Rattus norvegicus: one gene and its partners. The protein of the gene in region 4 binds, or shares a complex with, the protein of the main gene of each other region. Links are inferred from orthologs where the notes say so. Each region holds a gene or a part of one and is shown on either strand. Other genes may lie near its edges. The genes, in order: Cul3, Klhl22, Kbtbd4, Rbx1 and Dyrk2.

Region 1 (3,511 bases), on a different chromosome or scaffold from region 4:
TTCAGGGATCCAAAAAGTACATTTACCTGCTGAGCCATCTCTTGGACCCTGTTGTATTCCTGATATATTATACATGCGAAAGATAGAACATTCCATTACTAACACTTGAGCATATATACAGATTGGAAAATAATAATAGTCTGTAAAATTATCTCCAGACACATAATTACCAACAATGTTAGGGTAAGGCTAGATCATAAGTATTTTATTTACAAGAACATTTTTATAATGTTTTCCAAATTTGTTTTTATTTGGAAGGGCTTATTGGATCTGAAGAGTAGGTTTGATCGCTTCCTTCAAGAATCCTTCAATAATGACCGACTCTTTAAACAGACTATTGCTGGGGACTTTGAGTATTTCTTAAACCTCAACTCCAGGTCTCCTGAATACCTCTCATTATTTATTGATGATAAGCTGAAAAAGGGAGTCAAAGGGGTAAGTAGTAATGCATCTAAAGTGCAGTAGATTTTCCTCAGCAATTTAAAGTTCGGAAATGAATGTAAGGTATTTTACAGATAAAAATGTAAAAAGAGGGCAGGCCTCTTTGCTGCACTTATGTGCAGGTCTTGAGACACTCCTTTTAAACGTCTTAGATATGCTTAAAGATTGCTTGACATTTCACATATTCATTCTTATATAATTGTCATTTTAAAAAATACCCCCAAAAGAAAAAGCACAAACATCACACCTACAGGTTTTAAAATGATTGCCTTTATAGCTGAAAATTAGTGAGAGGAATGACAAATTGGAGAACTCGCTGGCAGTTACAGATTGTCACTGTTTTTATCTGGTTCTGGGTATAGAACATCAAGAAGGGCTTGGTTTTGAGGAATGGAAAAGGTGTACTGAATTCTGAAATAACTTTTGAAAGTTCTACACACTGAAGCTCAATTTTTAGTTTTATCTCTGGGACCTTGGGAGCTCACTTAGAACCGTAGAAAAATCAAAATAAGCTATTTTGATTGTGTGTGGTCTTTTAAAACCTCAACTTAGAGATTTCGAGACAGGAGAAAAGCAGCAAAAGGCTGCAGGTTACAGAGGCAGCTGAGTGAGAAACAAATCACTGACTGCCAAGCAATAATGTCTAGTTTAATCTCTCATTTCTAAAATCACAAGCATACTACAGTCTTCTATGCTATTTTCTTTCCTTTATTTAAAAGATGAAGTAAAGACTGTATTCTTTGGATTTAACAAAAACCCATTTGTTTGTCAGTTTTGAGTTTTTTAATGAATTTAAAAACAAAACAAAACTCTTGGGGCTATGCAAGTTCCTGCAGAAAGTTTTACTCTTTCCCTCGTCAATCAATTTATCTGTTTTTGGTTATCCTTTACTTAGCTCAGTCCTGTAGTAGTGACTGTCCCATATGAGTGGCAGCACTCCATTCTTTCAGTGCAGTAGAGAGGACAACAGTGTGTGGAGTAGGGCACAGTCCCAGATCACATTCATTCCCTTAACCAATTATTGTGGTTTTAAAACGGAACTATCTTTTGATTAATTTTTCAGCTAACAGAACAGGAAGTAGAAACGATATTGGATAAGGCAATGGTCCTTTTTAGGTTTATGCAAGAAAAAGATGTATTTGAACGTTACTATAAACAACATCTGGCAAGAAGACTGCTCACAAATAAAAGTGTTTCTGATGACTCTGAAAAAAATATGATTTCTAAATTAAAGGTAAGCTTTATTTAAGATGAATGCAGTATTCCCAAATGATGTTGACTCACTATGCTGGTGTTCACCCACACTGTTGTAGCCATTTTGAGCAGGGCATAGGCTTTGTTTCCATGTGTTAAAGGTACAGAGCATCAAAGTTGTGTAGCACTGTCGCATGGACTAGTTTCTAAACTGATCTGTGTCATCGTCACTTGAGATGTCTGTAGGACATTTCAGTATACTCTACTCTCCCTTGAGTATGGTGGAATCTGGAGGAGCCTAGAAATTATGTTTTAAACTAAAATCCTTAAGTTATTTTTAAACATGCTAAGGTTTAGTAGCCACAGACTCAGAGCAACCACTAGAAAGACTTTCAGAAGAATAATTAGAGATGGCAATAACATAAAAGACTTTCTACACTTTCTCACGGGAAAGTTTGCTATTTGTACGTATTTGTGATCTTTTTCCATAGACTGAGTGTGGATGTCAATTCACATCGAAACTGGAAGGAATGTTTAGGGATATGAGCATCTCAAACACAACTATGGATGAGTTCAGGCAACATCTACAGGCAACGGGGGTAAGAATCTGCATTACTTTTTTAAGTTAATTAATTTATTTACTTTATGACCTCAGTTTCAACTCCCTCCTTTCCTCCCAGTCCTCTCCCATCTACTCCTTAGGTGAGCCCTCCCATGACTGTCAACCAGCCTTGGCATATTAAGTTGCAATAAGACTAGGTGCATCTTCTAGATGAGGCAACACAATAGGGGGAAAGGGTCCCAAAGGCTGGCAGCAGAATCAAGGACAGGCCCTGCTCCTGCTGTTAGGCATCCACAGAAAGACTAAGGAAGTTACACAACTGGAACATTTGCAGAGGGCCTAGGTTGGTCAGTCCCATGTAGACTCTTCCAGCAATTCAGTCTATTGAGCCTCTGTGGGCCCAGGTTAGTTGGTTTGTAGGTTTTCTTGTGTCCTTAACCTCTTTGGCTCCTACAACGTCCTGCCCCTCTTCCACAGGATTCCCCAAGCTCCACTTAATGTTTGGCACTGGGTCTGTCTCCATCAGTTTCCATCAGTTGCTGGGTGAAGTCTCTCTGATGACAGTTATGCTAGGCTCCTACTTGCGAGTATAGCAGAATATTATTAATAGTGTCAGGGGTGGGATTCCTCTCATGGCATGTGTCTCAGATGCTGGACCAATCATTGGTTGGGTACTTCCTCAGTTTCTGTTCCATCTTCACCTCTGAACACAAATTGTAGACCAAAAGTTTTTGTGTCTGGATTGTTGTGTACCAAAGATGGCTGGTTCAGGCTCCATATCCTCCTGGGAGTTTTATTGCCCTGTTTCTAGCTTGTCTCAGCAATGTGACCTCCATGCCAGGTGTCTTTCCTAGTACTCCTGTCTTCCTCACCACCTAATCCCTCCTGTTCCCATCCCCTTCCCTGTCTAGCCCCCTCCCCTCTGTCCATCCATGATGTCGATTCTAATTAGTGAGGTTGACAAGTCCCCTGCTTATTACTTACCTTCTTTGGGCCTATGATTGTAACATAGTTATTTTTTACCTTACACTAATGTCTACTTATAAGTGAGTATATTCTTGGTCTAGGTTACCCCACTCAAGATGATCTTTTCTAGTTCCATCCATTTACCTGTAAATTTCTTAACAGCTGAGTAGTATTCCATTAACATTGTGTAAATGTACCACATTTTCTTTATCCATTCTTCAGTTGAGGGACATTAAATTATTTCCACTTTCTGTAAAGCTGCTATGAATATAGTTGAGCAAGTGTCCTGTGGTAGAGTGGGGCATCTTTTGTGTATATACTCAGGAGTGCTGTGGCTGGGTCTTGGGG
Region 2 (3,511 bases), on a different chromosome or scaffold from region 4:
TTTTTTTTTTTGGAGACAGGATCTGTCACTGAGACCTGGGCTCCACATTTGGGTGGGGTTAGCCAGCAAACCCCAGGTGCCTGTCCAAGTACTAGGGTCACAAGCAGGTATCACTGTGCTCAGCTTTTATGTGTGCTGAATCAGACTGGTCCTATGCTTATGTAAAAGTACTGTATGGACTTAGCTATGATCGCGGCCTGGTTACATGTACATCTGAGCTAGGCTGTTTTCAGCTGATTATAAGTTTATAAACAGACAATCCTATCATGAATGGAGAAACAGCTTTAATTATGTAAGTAGCCAAATAAGAAAGAGAGAGGCATACAGAAGGGATAGGAAGACGGGCCACCCGCCCTTGCTGCTTGAAGATGAACCTGCTGGCCTTAGGACTATGGGAAGAGACTCGAGTTACTTAGGCTTCGGGGATCAGCGGTAGAAACAATGAGGACATTATACACCAGGTCACTCCCTCACCATGGGAGGAAATGTCAATCCAGGTGACCCAGGCCCACTCTCAGTCCTTCCAAACCAAAGGTCTGGGGTCTGGTCTAAAATTCTTGAACTTGGAAGAATCCAAAGTCCCTGACGAGCTCTTCAGAGCCAGTGTCCCTCATAAGGTAATGGGAGTAAAGCTCAGACCCTAAACAAAGCACTGCTGAGCTACGGAGTGGGGCATGGGCAGGCAGAGTTAGGAAGCTGGCCCACTGGCACGAACCTGCATTTCCAGCTAACGAGCATGAAGGATTGCCAGATTAAAGAACTCTGACTAGGCTACAAAGTGAGTTCAAGGCCAGCCTGGGCAACTTACTGAAGCCCCACCTCCAAATAAAAAGTAAAAAGACATTTGTAGATTAACTCTGTAGTAGAAAGCTTCTCTAATTCACGTGTACGTGCAGGTGGGGGTGGGGTGGAGTGGGGGAAGCAAAATGTTAAATTGGAGGAAGGTAGGGACAAATGCTGGTGAGAAAAGCATATTCTGTTTAATTTCATTTCACTGCGTAGCCTAGTCTAGTCTCAAATTTGCAATCCTCCAGCCTCAGACTTTGAGTGCTAGAGTTACAGGAATGGACTACCACACTTGGCTTGGGATGCTCTCTGACTATGAATAGCTATGAGCAAGTCACGGACGGACTGAGAACCAATAATACAAGTAGAGGGTACGAGTTCTTCTCATTCTTCTCTATTCTGGTAGGGTCTACAATATGGGTTTGGGTATACTGGCTTTTTAATGCAAACATAACAACTAAAGGCACCAGGGAAACTCCTATGGAGGGCATATGTATGCATCCTATGGAATGTGCAACATTATGAGTCCTCAGGCTATGTTAGTATGGGTTCAATGAATCTAGCACATGTCCTTCTCATGAAGGACACACATAGTGGGGAAGCTATGCATGCATGGAATCAGAGGGGACCGGGGAACTCCCTGGACTTCTGCTCATTCTCAAGTGGGTGGCCTGGGCCCTGCTCACCTGGTGCACATCTCTCCTGTAGCCGGCATCATTGTTGCTGCCTCCAATCACAAACAGCTTGTCAAGGAGCGCAGCCATGCCGTGCCAGGCGCGTCGAACAGGCCCATCGGCTAGAGTGTGCCACGTGTTGCTTCCTGGGTCATAGCAGTGTGTCTCTTTCAGGTAGTCCTCTCCTCTGCGACCACAGGTGATGTACATCTTCCCTTGCAGCGTGGTGCCTGCATGGGCATATACCTGTTTGGAGTCACCAAGAGAACCAGGAAAGGTAAAGAGGGGCAAGAAGGCTGTGAGGAAGCTGGTCAGGTAGTCTCTACTGAGGCTACGGCCACCCTTCTGCATCTGCCTGATAACACAGCAGTCGAGGCCAACCACAGCTGACGTGCCTGCCATTCCGTGCTGGAGAGGGCATGGGCTTCTCACTGAATACACTGCCCTACTTGTTGACCCCTAGCCTCTTTCCAACAGGGCACGTTATCCACAGACCCAGAAACTAAATGTAATCTTTGTGTTTCTTTGCCTCTAAAGGAAACATCTGGACAGGGAACAAGAAAGTCAAGGCTCACTTCCAAGTTGCCAGAGAAACACACCTGCTCTTGGTGGCTTCAACTTTCTACCAGCTATCTGTCTGCAGATAGTTCCCACACACAGGAAGTAGGCTGTAGGGAAGAAAAGACTGAAACAAGGCATCAAATGTGATTGGCTCTCCATATCCATGTGTTCAACTAAAACTAGGATAAAAAATACTCAAATCCAAAAAAAAAAAAAAGAGAAAGAAAGAAAAAAATATAGACAGACAGACAGACAGACTCAAATCAATATGCTGGATCTGTACTAACCACATGCCAAGGAAGGTTCAGTCTTCTGTATAGAACAATTTACATAAACGTCTACTGTACCATGTATTATAATACAGGATGACCGAACACACAGACTTGCAAATGGCCTACCACTGAGGCTAGCATTCTTCTTAATACTTTTGTTGCTGCTGTTTTTGGAGACAGACTCTCCTGACTCCCAGGGTGACCTAGAACCTGCTATGCAGCCAAGGATGGTCCTGCGCCTCTGATCTCCCTCCTCCATCTCCCAATATTAGGCACATCACAGGGGGGTGTGTGTGTATGTGTGTATGTGTGTGTGTGTGTGTGTGTGTGTGTGTGTGTGTGACACCAGGGTTATCTGATGCTGAGGAATGAACTCAGGGTTTCATGCATGTTAGCCAAGACTCTACCAACTGGTCTACATTCCCAGTGTCCGTCCCTCCGTCCCTTCCCTCTCTCCCTCCTTCCTCCACCCCTCTCTCATAAATTACATCCCAACACTAAACCCTCCTCTCTCAGCTCCCACCCCACTTTTGGTGATTTTTGAGACAGTCTCACTGTGTAGTTCTAGCTGTCTTGGAACTCACTCTATAGCAACATACCAACAACCCCTACTTGGTTTTTTTTTAGCTTTCAGAAAAGGACTGGCTTCACAGTCCTTAGCCCAGGATGGCCCTGAACGTTTTATCTTCCTGCCTCTCCCTCTGAAGCTTGGATATATAGGCTTTACACAAATACTGTTAAGATTTCATTATCCTTGAGGGTGGGGATCCTAAAACTAACCTAGTTTGTATCATAAAGGACAGCTATACAAAGAACACCCCCTCTCCAGTGATGGTGTGTATAAGGAGACACTAGCCTGCAATGCTCAACGATTTTCTGCCCCTACTTTGGCAGCTCTGTCCTTCTGGGCTACCCATCTAACCATATGTGCACTCACTGGCTCCTCCAAGTCTTACTGACTCAAAGCCAATGGCCAACAGAAGGCTCTGATCGTGTGAGGAGAAGGGAGCTCTGCAGGGTCCTGGAGACTGCATGGTAGCGTCATAGGACTGGTTACTGTGTGTGAGCTGGAGAAGCACAAACACACAGCAGCAGAGCAGGCACAGAGTCTGCATCTTCTCCCAGCATACGTAGTAGGCTGCAGAGCTTAATTTTTATTTCCAATTAATAATTTTTAGATTAAAGGGTGCCCTGCTTCCTTCCAAAAGTTTCTCTAAA
Region 3 (4,248 bases), on a different chromosome or scaffold from region 4:
GTGTATGCTTTGTCCGCACATGGCTGTGTACCACATGTATGTCTGGTATCCACGATGGTCAGAAGATGGCGTTCCTGATGGGAACTGAACCATGGTCCTCTGTAAGAATAACAATTGCAAGAGCAACAAGCCATCTCTGCAGTCTCATCAATGGCAATCTCAAAGGGGGTCCAAGGGGAACCACAGCTGGCTGTAGTAGAGCATGCCTCTAATCCTAGCACTTGAGGGCAGAGGCAGAGGCAGGCTTATTTCTGTGAGTTTAAGGCCAGCCTGGTCTACATAGTGAGTTACATGCACACAGGCAGGACTATATAAAGAGACACTGTCTCAGAAAAGAGGCCTGAACCATTTTATTAGACCACCATTATATGTATCTGCTTATGCACACGTAAATATGACGTTAATCTGAAATTGCCCCAGGACTACCATGCTGCAGTGCTCAGACTAGACCCAGAGTTCCATGTACCCCAACTCTACCACTGAGTCATACCACTAGCCCTGCCTGGCTTTTTAAGAGAAGCGATGACACAATATGTCACAGTAGTCACTCATCGGGCTATGGAGTTCACATCTAAAATACGGTGCCACCTCACTTGTTACCTAAGATTATTACCCAAATGTTTCTTATTTTACATTTTTTGTTTTTTGTTTTTTGAGTCAGGGTTTTGTTGTGTAGCCCTGGCTGTCCTATAACTCACTTTGTAGACCAGGCTGTACTGGAACTCACCGGTATCTGCTTGCCTCTGACTCTGGGTCCTGAGTGCTGGGGATTAAAGGCATGGCCACCACATGTGGCTATTTTAGATATATTGATTCATCACCATCTTCATCAGTTTATTTAAGAATTAGTCCTGTAGGCTTTCAAGGTACAGGGCAGATGAGAACATCAGGCACTGATTCCTTTTGTGGAAAAGTGATGCAGATTTTAGTCTTTAGTTACTGTAAAGCACCCTGTCTCTGACAGTAGCTACACTGATTCTCAACACTCAACCTCACTCTAAAATCCCTACCAGCGCGGGTTGGGGATTTAGCTCAGTGGTAGAGCGCTTGCCTAGCAAGCGCAAGCCCTGGGTTCGGTCCCCAGCTCCCAAAAAAAAAAAAAAAAAAAAGAAAAGAAAAGAAAAAAAATCCCTACCAGGAAGGGAAATATAATGTAAACAACAGTTAGTTACATAAAGTTGGGGTTCTCCCGAACCGGAACATCCACTGAACATCACTCTGGCATAGCTGGGTGTGCTAAGCCCCTCCTTGAACTTACCTGAGATGATATCAGTGAGTAGATGGTGGGGCAAGTGGAGAAACTCCTCTGTGCTCTGCAGCTGGGCCAGGTGGGTCTTGGCACAGTGCTTGGCAGCAGTGTAGAGCTCGGGGTCACTGTGCCTATCTGCAAGCCACATCACCTGAAGGCAGTTTCCCACTTGGACTGTGCGTGCCAAAAACCGGGAACATTCCTCAAAGAGAGATGTCAGCTGATACATGTCTGACACCTCATAAATCTCCTGCAGCTCATCAGCCCGAAGTTTCACAGTCCCATGGTATATATAATCAACCAGGAGCTGGAACACAGACTCACTGACATCTTGCAGCACAATTACCCGGTTGTGAGCTTCCTTCAGGTTAGATGTGAACATGGATCGGAAGAAGCAGCTCTGAGCTGACAGGACCAGCCGGTGGAGCTGAAACTCTCGGCCTTCCACTGAAATGGTGACATCAGCAAAGAGCTCCTCCTCTAAACACAGTTTCATAATGCCCTGAGCCACTCGGCCTGAGTGAGACCGGTCTTTGAAAGTATAGTTCACAAAGTAGTTTTCATCCATGGATGCTCCAGGCTCCTCTGGTGACTCCATGGTAGCCAACTTCTCTTTCTGCCAACTATCTGCAAAGCAATACCACCCTAAGTATTTGGGCAATTCACAGACACAGTCCATGAATCCAGATGTCCAACTCAGGATAAGGAGAAGGGAGGCATTGGAGCAAAGTGTGTACAGACTGGCCCTTATTCCTGGCCCTGCCAAGATGGCCTATGACATTCCTGCAGTTTTCCTGCAGTGGGGCCTCTCCTCCTGTGAATTCAATTAAAGTTCCAACTCTGTTGTTTTTCCTTAAGGTAAAATCGGATATTCCTGATGATGATGTAACAAAAGACTTGGGACTTAGGTCAACCCATGTAAAAGACGAAGGAGGAAGCCTATGATCTCAAAACCAAATAATTTGGATATACAACTAATGAGACTCAGGAGAAGCATAATTAGACCAAAAAAAAAAAAAAAAGAGGAAGTAAATGAAATAAGAAATCCAGGTATTGTGGTTAGATTCCCTCTTTGCTTGGACATAAGAATGCAGACCCTCCGATATTGAGGCCTGGGCTTGGACATACATTACTTCCACTTTTACTCTTTCCAAAGCTGCTGTTTCTTACTTACCTACTCGCTCCAATGAGTTCTTAAAGAAGCCTGAGAGAGCCCAGCCGTCCCCGGCCGGGGGCACAAGGAAGTCCATAACCCTGTGCAATCTGACCGCGCCACCTAGAGTCGCCTAGGAAACGGTCTCCAAGGAAACCGTCCATCGACTCCCCCACCCCCGCCCCCCATTAAAAGCTTAGCTCAGGAGCCAGAGAGCGGTGTAGAACTTAGAACCCAGAACGCCCACCCTTTCCCTTTCTCTCACCCGTCCGATTCTTTGCGTCTTCTTCTCTTCGGCCTCCGCCGTACCAAAATAGGGCTACGTAGAACCTCACGGTTTCCCCACCTGCGGGTCTTTCTTACCTGCGTTACCTCCTTTCATGCCAATGTTCAGATCCGGAACCTCTGCTTCCCGCCCCGTGTCCGCCCGGAAGAAGATTCATTGCACATTTCCACTTCCGGTCCGTGCCCTTGAGGCTCCGTGGCCTGTGTGTGTTTTCCGGCTACTTAGTCGGCACCCTAAGGAACATGGCGTCTGCTGCAGCCAGGGTCTGGTGCCGTGGGCTCTTGGGGGCTGCTTCCGTAGCCAGGGGTGAGCAAAGAACAGCAGGCCGAGACCACGGGCAGCGGCAGAGGCACACCTTGCACATAGACCTCCTCGGGTCTCACCCGCGCCTTTGTGCCTTTTATCTTCCTGTGCAGGGGCTGGGCGACCCTCAGTGCTGTTGCAGCAGCGTGTGAGAAGGGAGAGCGCGGCGGCTGACAAGCGCCGTGAGTATGTGCGGATAGCGCTCTTCTCTTCAACGTTAGCAGGGGTCTTCCATTGTTTCTGCCAGATGTTTGTCCTTGCCCTGGAATGTCCTTCCCTTCTGGCAAATCTCTGCTTGCCCTTGGAGATTGCTATGGTCTCCACCTTGCTGTTAGAAACGAGTACTTCCTGTGCCCTAGATATTTGTTCCCTTCTGATCTTGATCGCCCTTTGCTCGTTTTCACAATCTTCTATTTTTTCCCTCTGGTTAAATTGTCTTTGACAGCAAGTAACAAAACTTTTGATACTCAGAGACCAGAATAATAGTAGCTCACATCAATTTAGTATTTACTAGACACCTTAAAGATTTAAGCCGTATAGTGAATGGTTTCCTTTGGACTTCATGAGAACCATGAGATGCATCATATTTTACTGTCCATATAGATGTATAAATCATGAAGCGGTCAAAATAATTAAATTATTCAGTTATAGTGCCAGTGAACGACAAAGCAGGTCTGCCTGTTTCCAAGTGCAGAAAATACTTAATTCTTTTTTTTTAAAGATTTATTTATTTATTATATATAAGTACACTGTAGCTGTCTTCAGACACACCAGAAGAGGTGAGCCACCATGTGGTTGCTGGGAATTGAACTCAGGACCTCTGGAAGAGCAGTCAGTGCTCTTAACCACTGAGCCATCTCTCCAGCCCAATACTTAATTCTTGATTCTGTGATGTGTGGGTGCTCAAGTACTTGAATGACCATGTGGTGATTTTATGTTCAGTCAACAGAATCACACGGGTAAATGGAAAACCTGGCTTTTTTTCATTTCTGGACATCTATTACACAAAGTGACTGGGAATGGAGTGTGGGCAGTGAGTGAATCAGGGTTCTTCAGCGCTGAAGTTCTTTGACAAAGAACTTGGTCTAAACAAATACCAAGAAACAGAAGTCTGGTTCCCATCCTTAAAGAGCTCCGAGTCTGATAGGAGAGCTGACACTGTTACATTGTTGTCATGAGTACAAGAAGTGAGGAACAGCTGAGGAACAGTGTAGAAAAGAAGCAAAGATTACCCACTACATTAACAAAAGTGTATGT
Region 4 (4,213 bases):
GAACCCTGTCTCCAAAAATAACAACATGCAATCTACTTCAAACACTCAAGTACCTACGGGTTCTGACCCTGCTTTGTATTCACTGGTAAAGAAGACAATTGGGCACACGAGGATGACCGCCATTTCTCTCTTCCTCAACGCCTTCCCACCCGCCCCGAGTTACTTACAAAGATCCATAATGTGGTTCCTGCAGATGGCACAGTTATCAACCACAATATCCCAGGCCCAGAGGGCTACTGCATTCCACTGCAAGGAGAAGAGGGGAAACAATGCATTTTCTGGGTAACATAACAGACTCGTTAGGATTTCAGCTGCGGCTTCAGTTACCAACTCCCTGGCCATAGGGCCTAGCAAAGAAAGAATGATTTTTGGATTGCATTATTTGTACAACATCAGAGGGTAACAGCAGACCACGTGTACACTTCCTCATTCCTGAACATGGGTACTTTTAATTTTTTTTTTTTTTTACTTTTATTTATTTACTCTCCATTAGTTTAAATCTGGGATGGGTACAGCATCACACGGATTCTGTGTCCAATGGCCTTTGCAGGAAGGTTGCTTTGGAATTTGGCACGAACCACGCCACTGTTTCCATGGGCCCGAGTTACTTTTCCCCAGATCACTCTGGTTTTGTTTGGTTTGCCTCCAGGAGTCACTGTATTGTTTTTTGCTTTGTACACATAAGCACACCTCTTGCCTAAGTAGAACTCAGTTTCATCTCGGGCATAAACGCCTTCAATTTTTTTTTTTTTTTCGGAGCTGGGGACCGAACCCAGGACCTTGCGCTTCTTAGGCAAGCGCTCTACCACTGAGCTAAATCCCCAACCCCAAACGCCTTCAATTTTAAGAAGAGCCGTGTACTCTCTTTGGTTCAGGAGGCCTGGCTTGTAGCCAGCAAAAATGGCCTTGCACCACAGCCTTCCAGACATACTTGTTTTTTTTAGAAGTCCTGTTCCCAGTGGGCTTCCAAAGGCGCCAAGATGGCGGAAAGAGGAAGGCAAGCCCCACCGCGCCAATTTTTTTTTTTTTGGTCTATAGCATAAAATAATTTAGCTAGCCAAACCGACGTGGGAATATTAGAGCTATTTTTTGAACACCCATTTTAGCTTCAAGTACAAACTTGAACTAATGTGGAGCTGTTCCTGACAGATGTGGTCGAACTCAAAATCTGCCTAAGTATTTGCTCTCCACGCAGTTTTGGACTCGGAGGAAGAGAGGTGAACAGACTGAACTACGATAATAAATGGATCAATCGCTAAGGGGATAATCGTGGGATAAGCTGGATAGTGAGTTACCTACCCAGTGTCAGCACACAGAACAAGGTCATCACTTACACCTCACAGCACTGCAAGCAAGTCAATCCAGTGCAATTTTCTTGTCCTCTTACCAAGGAAACTGATGTTCCCAACGTTCATATGTCCAAACTATTATTTTGCTAGTTCTAGTAAATTGATCCAAGACTTACACTGGGCAGGACACCCCTTTCTTTCTTTTTTTTTTTTCTTTTTTCTTTTTTTCTGGAGCTGGGGACCGAACCCAGGGCCTTGCGCTTGCTAGACAAGCGCTCTACCACTGAGCTAAATCCCCAACCCCTAGGACACCCCTTTCAAGGACTACTTTGGTTTGACTTCTCAAATTCAAGTATTCGAGTCTAGTAAATTCGACATTATTTCTATTATTCTTCCATATGGCTGCAGGCCGTAACTGAGCAGCAGTGGCCACAATGAGATGACAAAAAAAGAGTGGGGTGGGGAGGTGTTCTCAGCGACTCTTTCCAAAAGTAATACATACAAAAAAAAAAAAAACAAAAACAAAAAGGAAAAAAAACCCCAAACAAACCAACAAAAAACCAAAAACACCTTCCCCACTTCAAGATCTTCATTTTGAGCAGATTTATGTAATCTTAGGTAGGAACGGGCACTTTTCTCTTAAAGTGCTAGAAAACTATGAAGGGAATAGAATACAAAAGGACGTTTCATATTTTTTGTGTTCCCAGGTCATTAACAATTAGTACTCCGCCTTCTTAAATGGCACAAGTTCTGGGCTTGCTTTTAAAACAAAGCCCACCAGACTTTTTAAATTACCATTTTGTGTTAGAAGTGTACACGGGCATTAGAGAACCATTGGAGTGGCAGAAGCTATGTGACAACTAGTACACGTCTCGGAAGAACCAAGCTTTACACTTGAGACTGTGGGTTTAGAAGGCTAATGGAGGCCGCCATACAATCGAGGGCCCACACCAGGTCCCTCGGAGTCAATAGATTCTAGGATCCAGGAAGGGGCGGAGCAAGAACACCGGCAGAGCTCTTCTGCGGTGTCATCGCACGTTCCCGGGTTTCTCCGCACAGCCCCATCCTCCACCCGCCGCAGTCTCTTCACGAGTCTCCATCCTACCCACCCCACCCTGTCCTTCCCCCAACTCTCAGTCACTTCAGTGACAGCTTAAGCGCTTGGCTCCCGCACCGAAGTTAACCTCGCGTATTTCAGTAAGCAGCTCTGCGATTGGACCCACAGCTTTCCCAGCGAAACTAATATGGCCAAGACAGTGGGCCACCATCATGCCGATCAACCCTAGGCCCGCCCCCCGGCTTCCTTTAGTGGTACCCGGTCCCAGGAACGCCCTGAAATGAAGCCCTTTCCCCCGCGCCTAGCTCTTCCTCGGGCCTGCCAGCCATATCCGCGCCTCCCTAGATTCCTTGAGGAAGGCGCTGGCGAGACCCAACCTTTTTAACTTCAAAGCGCTTCTTGCCCGCGCCGCTGTTGGTGCCGCTGGGGGTATCCACATCCATCGCCGCCGCCATTTTGGAAACACACTGTCGTGCGACCACTGCGCCTGCGCATCGGCTCACTTTCCGCCGCCTGCCCTCTCGCCAGGCTCCTCCTCTCGCACCCCTCCCCTTATTGGCGCGTGCGGGTAGAAGGGGCGGAGGCTGCGGTCACGCCCCTTAAAGGCGCAGGCGGAGGTTCCCCGTCGCTCTCAGCTGGGGAGGAGGCTGGAGTGATTGAGGCGGGGTCGGGCGGGGCCGGGCGGAGCCGGGCGGGGCCGAGCGAAGGGAGCCAACTGGTGGGAATGTCCCTGAGGTCTGAATACTGCTCGCCTTCTGGGAAACCCTGTGGCCTGACTCCTTCTTCTGGGGCGGCGGCTGCTTCCTCCTTCTGCCCCAGAATTTATACCTGATCCAGACCCACAGCGCTGCCCCCAAGGCCGCGGTGCAAAGGGCATGGGCTGGTCTGTGGAAACCCGAAACTCCAAAACGTTCAAAACGGCCTTCTGCTGACCGTGGCCGGCTTGGGGGCCCTGTGACTCGGCTTTCCAAGGCCCGGGCACGGTCTGCGTTCTCAACTTCAGTTTGGGAAATTATTTGATAGGGAGAGAGAGGCCTGAATGTTCTGCCCAGGAACAAACAGAGCAGGCATTCTGCAGCTCTGCCTTCACCTTCTCACCAGAAAGACACGGAGAACACGTAGGAGCCTGGGAGATGCCATCCTCCTTTCTCCCCATTTCCCATCCGAGTTTTGCTACTTGTGCTACAGTTAAATTAGTACATTTGTAGTGGCCAAACTTGAATTTGGGTGAGGCATTCTGATTTTCTTACCGGTCATTACCACCGAGCTAAGAACCTGTATCTTTTGTCATGCTTCCATGTTTAGCCCAGCCCTCCACTGTTTTATCTCCTAAATTTGCAGAGGTATGACTAGAATACATCACCCTCGAACTTCTTATGTGTTCTAGTTCCCTCAACAGGACAACAATGACGTTTTATCTGAAATGCCCACTTGAAAGAAATACTGGCGTGCAATTCAGTGTGCTGTTGATGTCCTTGCTGAGCAGGGCAATACATCCGGAAACACCACCACAGTTTTAACTTGCACAAAGAAGACTTGCTACAGCCTGCAAGGAGTGTGTGTGTTGGCCCAAGTTCTACCTCCCACACTAAAATCGTCATTGATTTATGTGTCAATAGACTCCCTAAGGGATGCTAGAAACCCATAGTTAATTAAGATACTGAGGGCATAGTTATCCATTCTTCAACAACTATCTTGAGCATGCTACTTGGTCTTTTAATTTTTGTTTTACTATTATTGTTTATTATTATTATTTCTGAGACAGGGCCTCACTCTGTAGCCCAGGCTGTCCTTAAAATCTGAGCAATTGGGGCTAGAGAGATGGCTCAGCGGTTAAGAGCACCCAACTGCTCTTCCAGAGGTTATG
Region 5 (4,043 bases), about 59 Mb from region 4:
CCACGGACTCCTGACAGCTCAGTTAACTTGTGGAGTCTTCATTCCCATGCAAACATGCACAGGAGCCGGATAAACTCTGTGTTCCTCAACGCCCCTGAGCCGGGAAACCTGTAGAGTCCTACGAACCACATCAAAACACTTGAAACATAAAGCTTCACTTTCAAAACGGAGCGTCCAAGGATGCGGAGCAACTGAAATTTACCCTTCGGTGTATAACAGCCATGTCACACACAGGCCACAGCACAGCACAGGCATCTATGCCGAAATCACCTTCATGCCTTTTCCTTTCCGGTGCCACACAGGCTTTCCACTTGTGGCAGTTTTCCCCTCTCCCAATTTCATGACATATTTCAGTTGCAAAGAAGTTCTGATCAGGCAAAGGCCATCCTTAACAAAACTTGGAAATCGAATGCAAATTGAGTTATTCCTTGTCCAGTTCACAACATGTAACACGATCACACCAACACATGGGGGGGAAATGGACGCTGGGTTTTCCAAACTGTCAGATGATTCTAAACCAGCCAAAACCACAGAAAAGCCAAACCTCCAAAACCAACGATGACTCCTTTCTAGGATGCCCTTGTGGCAGTCACATCCCCACTACCTGCAGGCTCTCTTTCCCAGCGAGATAGTACGACCCAGATGAGTTCATCCCTGTGTAATGAATCCCCAGCTCCTAGCATAGACTCACCGAGAAAAACAGAGAATAACAAAACATGTCTATGAAATTGTCTACCTCTCTTGTACGCCTCCAGCACAGCTAACGTCGGTCTCATCTCCCGTGATAAACAAGTTTCAGTCACAAATGACTCCCCTTCTTCCCCCCAGAGATGCTCCCTGCAGGCCACAAACCATGGGTGGGTACTTTCAAGCAACTTTCACTTAGCCACAAAATCCTACATCCTGCAGGCAACCTCACACAGAAACCATCCTAGGTTGCTCACATTCCCAGAGAGCCTTTGGGAAAGAGATCTTTAAAACCATCACCTGCAAGCGCACACCTCCTTTAGGCTCATGGTCACCATCCAAAGGCCATCGCTAGGGGCTGAGGAAAGGTACAAGCTGAAGTCAGCCCAGCTCCCCAGTCTCTGCAGCCACCAGTCCCAGGCTCCGCACTCCCCAGGGCCTCAAGGGACTGCACAGCCCTTGTCAGGTGCCCTTCCCTTGCCACCTACAAAGCAAAGCCGGCCCTTTCCTTTTGAGTCAATATCCACGCTGAGAATCCTACAGTGGTGGTTGTTTTGTTTTGACTACTGCTGTAGCTCTTATTTTTGTTAATGTTAATTACAATTTCTGCTGTGCTCAAACCTGTAGCTCTCATAAAACATGCTTACACACGCGGGGGACAATTGGCGGGTGCTCCCTGCTGGCTGCAGCCAGGCCTCTGAGGCTCTTTGGGGGATCGATTTTCCGGGCAGGGTAGCCTAGCTGTCCCCTAACACATACGTTTCTATAAATATCCACTACCCCTGGGGTTGGGAATAGATGTTTACCGGCCGGGGAAGGGAGCTCTAGGAAGCACAGATGAAAAAAGGGGGGAGGGGGCGCAAGGAGGAAGTTCCCAGGAAAAGGAGCTCTGGTGTGGGCGAGCTTCAGAGGGAAGCGAGGGGCCCACGCCACGAATCTCTTTTGTGGCAGCAGCTCGGGGCTCGCCCAAGTTACAGAGGGCGGCGTCGAGGACAGGCCCCTGCCAGGGGCGTGGAGATTCGGCCCTCTCTTCCCACAGCAAGAACCCAACAAGCCAGGGGTCTGCCCGGCGCCCTCCCAAAGCCAGGTCTCACCGTGTGGGATGTAGTGGTAGCGTTGCTGGCCCGGAGAGGCGGCAGGGCGATGGGGGAGGGTGGGCCGGTCCCCACTCCGCTTCGGGGAGCCCCCGCGCCGATCCCCGGGGAAGCCTGAAGCTGGCGAACGGCGGTGTCCCCTCCTCGGCCTGGGAGCCACGCGCGGGAGGAGACAAAAGAGGGTCAGGGTGGGGAAAGAGAGCTACCCAGACCCCCGCCCCCGCCCCGGTGGGCAGAGAACCCCCTCTTCCAGGGAGAAGATGGAAGGAGACACCCGGCCCGGGAAAAGCCGGCGGCGTGCGGGAAAGGAGGGGGGTCGGGACGCGGCTCCCCGGCGCGCACCCGCCAGCTGCAAAGTTAAGTTCGCGACCCGGAGGGGAGCAGCGCTGGGCCAGAGCTCCGGAGCCCACGTCGCCGGGCCGGGGGAGGGGAGGGCGGGCCACCGAGAGGGCGCTGCGGCGGGGTCGCGCTCCGGATGCCCCTCGCTCAACCCGCCGGGTTCAGGGATCCCGGGGCACCAACACGCGCAGCCCGCGCCCCGTGCCGCCGACAGGGTCCCGGGGCCCTTACCGGTCGGGTAGGCGGCGGGAGCGGCGGCCGAAGGTTTCCTGGTTAACATGGCCGCGGGAGAGGAACGTGCATGGCAGTGCTGCCCTCGCCGCCGGTCCCGCCGCTACTCCTCGCCGCCGCCGCCGCCGCCGCCGCCTCCTGGTCGCCCCTCACGCGGGTCCCCCGCGCCTCGTCGCTTCCTCTCTCCCGCTACAGCCAGACACACGCAGTCCACTGCATCCCCTCGGCCCGGACCCGCCGCCGCGAGCCCCCCGCTCTCCTCCTCGCCTCCGCCGTCCCCCTCGTCCTCGGGCGGCTGCTGTACCCCCCGGCCCGTGCACATGCCTCGCCCTCCCCTGCCGCACCGCTGGCCTCCCCGACTCCCTCACATCGGGGCCGCGGGGAGCGGGCTGCGGCCGCCGGGACCCACTCGCTCGGGAGCCTCCTCCCGGGCCTGCGCGCGTTCGCGCACACTCGCACACACGCTCGCCCCCGCGGCTCGCGCCCGAGAAGGCCAGCCCCGCCCCCGCTGAGGCCCCGCCCCGGACTCCCCCGGCCCCAGCCACACAGGCTGGCGGCCACCCCACCCCCACCCGCCACCCCGGGAGTCCCACCCTCTCCGATCTTCCGCAGAGCCGTCCTCCGCTCCCAGGAAAACTGCGGCTCGGGCTCGCCCTGCGCCTCCCCTGCGGCCATCTGCCCTCTCCCCGTGTCCCCCTCGCCCCTGCGACGCCCCTCCCTGCCCTACCGCGCAACCTACCGCGGCCGGCCTCCTCCCGAAATTGCTGCAGAGACCCCTCCCTCTCCCATCACGCCCCTAAACACCGCCCCTAATGGCTGCTCCCAGACAATACTGCGGCCCCCCAGCCCCGGCCCCTGTCCCTGTCCCAGTGGCCCAGCCAACCCCTCTCCCCAGTTTTATCATGGAGAGAACTTAGTTGTATGAGGGTCACCTCGGAAAGTCAGGCCCCGAGGAGGGACTGCGGCTGAGCTTGGTGACCCAAGCATGGACGAAGGAAGGGGCTGCCCTTCCACTTCCATCTCGGCCACGCACGCCCTCCCTGATTCACTGACACCGAGTGACCGCTGCCCTCCAGTCTCTAGGACAAGGGGAGGCAGACAGGCGCCTGTGGACCGCAGCTGAGGTAGCAGTTGGCTGTGGGTTGCTAGGCAAAAATAAACATCAGAGACGCCTCCCATTTCCTTACAACTCGAAGCCTTTCCCCAGCGCGGCCACTGAGACAGACACACCTTCCTTTCAGCTCTCTGCTGCACTGGGGCGACACCTCTGATTCCCCACATCCTCGGAGGAAAAGATTCTTTTTTTCTTTCCCTTCCCAGACACGTGGAGAATTTCCCTGCCCTATTCATTCGTGGGCTACAGCCTCTGCTTCCCAGAAAGAACAGCATTTGTTTCTCTGTCGCACACCTATGCTTTGTCGTGCGTGGCACACTTGGGCACCTTTGTCCACTTGAACAGTCAGGTGTGGAGCGAAAGCTCGAAAAATCCCCAGCAGATAGGGAAGAAAGTTGGACCGCGTCCAGGCATGCACTTCCTTCCTGGGAGGTGCCTAGTTTCTGAACTGCTCCTGGAGTCCTGTGTCCATCCCTTATTGCCCTGCTCCTTGTGTCTTCTCCAAGTCCCAGAGTGCTGGCCCCAACTAGAGCAGACTTCAGTCTAGAGGGAGCTACCTCCTGCAGAGTTGTACAGGC

What was found.
Region 1: Rbx1 (region 4) and Cul3 share a complex: the UniProt entries of both Homo sapiens proteins name them as parts of the BCR(ARMC5) E3 ubiquitin ligase complex. The link is inferred for Rattus norvegicus from reciprocal best matches to the Homo sapiens genes RBX1 and CUL3.
Region 2: Rbx1 (region 4) and Klhl22 share a complex: the UniProt entries of both Homo sapiens proteins name them as parts of the BCR(KLHL22) E3 ubiquitin ligase complex. The link is inferred for Rattus norvegicus from reciprocal best matches to the Homo sapiens genes RBX1 and KLHL22.
Region 3: Rbx1 (region 4) and Kbtbd4 share a complex: the UniProt entries of both Homo sapiens proteins name them as parts of the BCR(KBTBD4) E3 ubiquitin ligase complex. The link is inferred for Rattus norvegicus from reciprocal best matches to the Homo sapiens genes RBX1 and KBTBD4.
Region 5: Rbx1 (region 4) and Dyrk2 share a complex: the UniProt entries of both Homo sapiens proteins name them as parts of the E3 ligase complex. The link is inferred for Rattus norvegicus from reciprocal best matches to the Homo sapiens genes RBX1 and DYRK2.

What each region holds. Positions count from the first base shown.
Region 1 is NC_086027.1:89,055,919-89,059,429, reverse strand, and holds part of Cul3 (cullin-3), read left to right. Parts: intron 1-258; coding exon 259-435; intron 436-1,504; coding exon 1,505-1,675; intron 1,676-2,126; coding exon 2,127-2,234; intron 2,235-3,511. UniProt on the Homo sapiens protein: Core component of multiple cullin-RING-based BCR (BTB-CUL3-RBX1) E3 ubiquitin-protein ligase complexes which mediate the ubiquitination and subsequent proteasomal degradation of target proteins.
Region 2 is NC_086029.1:96,698,007-96,701,517, forward strand, and holds part of Klhl22 (kelch-like protein 22), read right to left. Parts: intron 1,707-3,511; coding exon 1,473-1,706; intron 1-1,472. UniProt on the Homo sapiens protein: Substrate-specific adapter of a BCR (BTB-CUL3-RBX1) E3 ubiquitin ligase complex required for chromosome alignment and localization of PLK1 at kinetochores.
Region 3 is NC_086021.1:97,338,157-97,342,404, reverse strand, and holds the start of Kbtbd4 (kelch repeat and BTB domain-containing protein 4), read right to left. Parts: upstream 2,810-4,248; 5' UTR 2,785-2,809; coding exon of another isoform or gene 2,766-2,784; 5' UTR 2,668-2,765; intron 2,608-2,667; exon of another isoform or gene 2,500-2,607; coding exon of another isoform or gene 2,424-2,499; intron 1,877-2,423; coding exon of another isoform or gene 1,848-1,876; coding exon 1,259-1,847; intron 1-1,258. Other genes in the region: Ndufs3 (NADH dehydrogenase [ubiquinone] iron-sulfur protein 3, mitochondrial), read left to right, coding at 2,931-2,994, 3,105-3,173. UniProt on the Homo sapiens protein: Substrate-specific adapter of a BCR (BTB-CUL3-RBX1) E3 ubiquitin ligase complex which targets CoREST corepressor complex components RCOR1, KDM1A/LSD1 and HDAC2 for proteasomal degradation.
Region 4 is NC_086025.1:114,869,572-114,873,784, reverse strand, and holds the start of Rbx1 (E3 ubiquitin-protein ligase RBX1), read right to left. Parts: upstream 2,807-4,213; 5' UTR 2,802-2,806; coding exon 2,724-2,801; intron 247-2,723; coding exon 168-246; intron 1-167. UniProt on the Homo sapiens protein: E3 ubiquitin ligase component of multiple cullin-RING-based E3 ubiquitin-protein ligase (CRLs) complexes which mediate the ubiquitination and subsequent proteasomal degradation of target proteins, including proteins involved in cell cycle progression, signal transduction, transcription and transcription-coupled nucleotide excision repair.
Region 5 is NC_086025.1:56,245,859-56,249,901, forward strand, and holds the start of Dyrk2 (dual specificity tyrosine-phosphorylation-regulated kinase 2), read right to left. Parts: upstream 2,803-4,043; 5' UTR 2,401-2,802; coding exon 2,352-2,400; intron 1,931-2,351; coding exon 1,782-1,930; intron 1-1,781. UniProt on the Homo sapiens protein: Serine/threonine-protein kinase involved in the regulation of the mitotic cell cycle, cell proliferation, apoptosis, organization of the cytoskeleton and neurite outgrowth. Functions in part via its role in ubiquitin-dependent proteasomal protein degradation.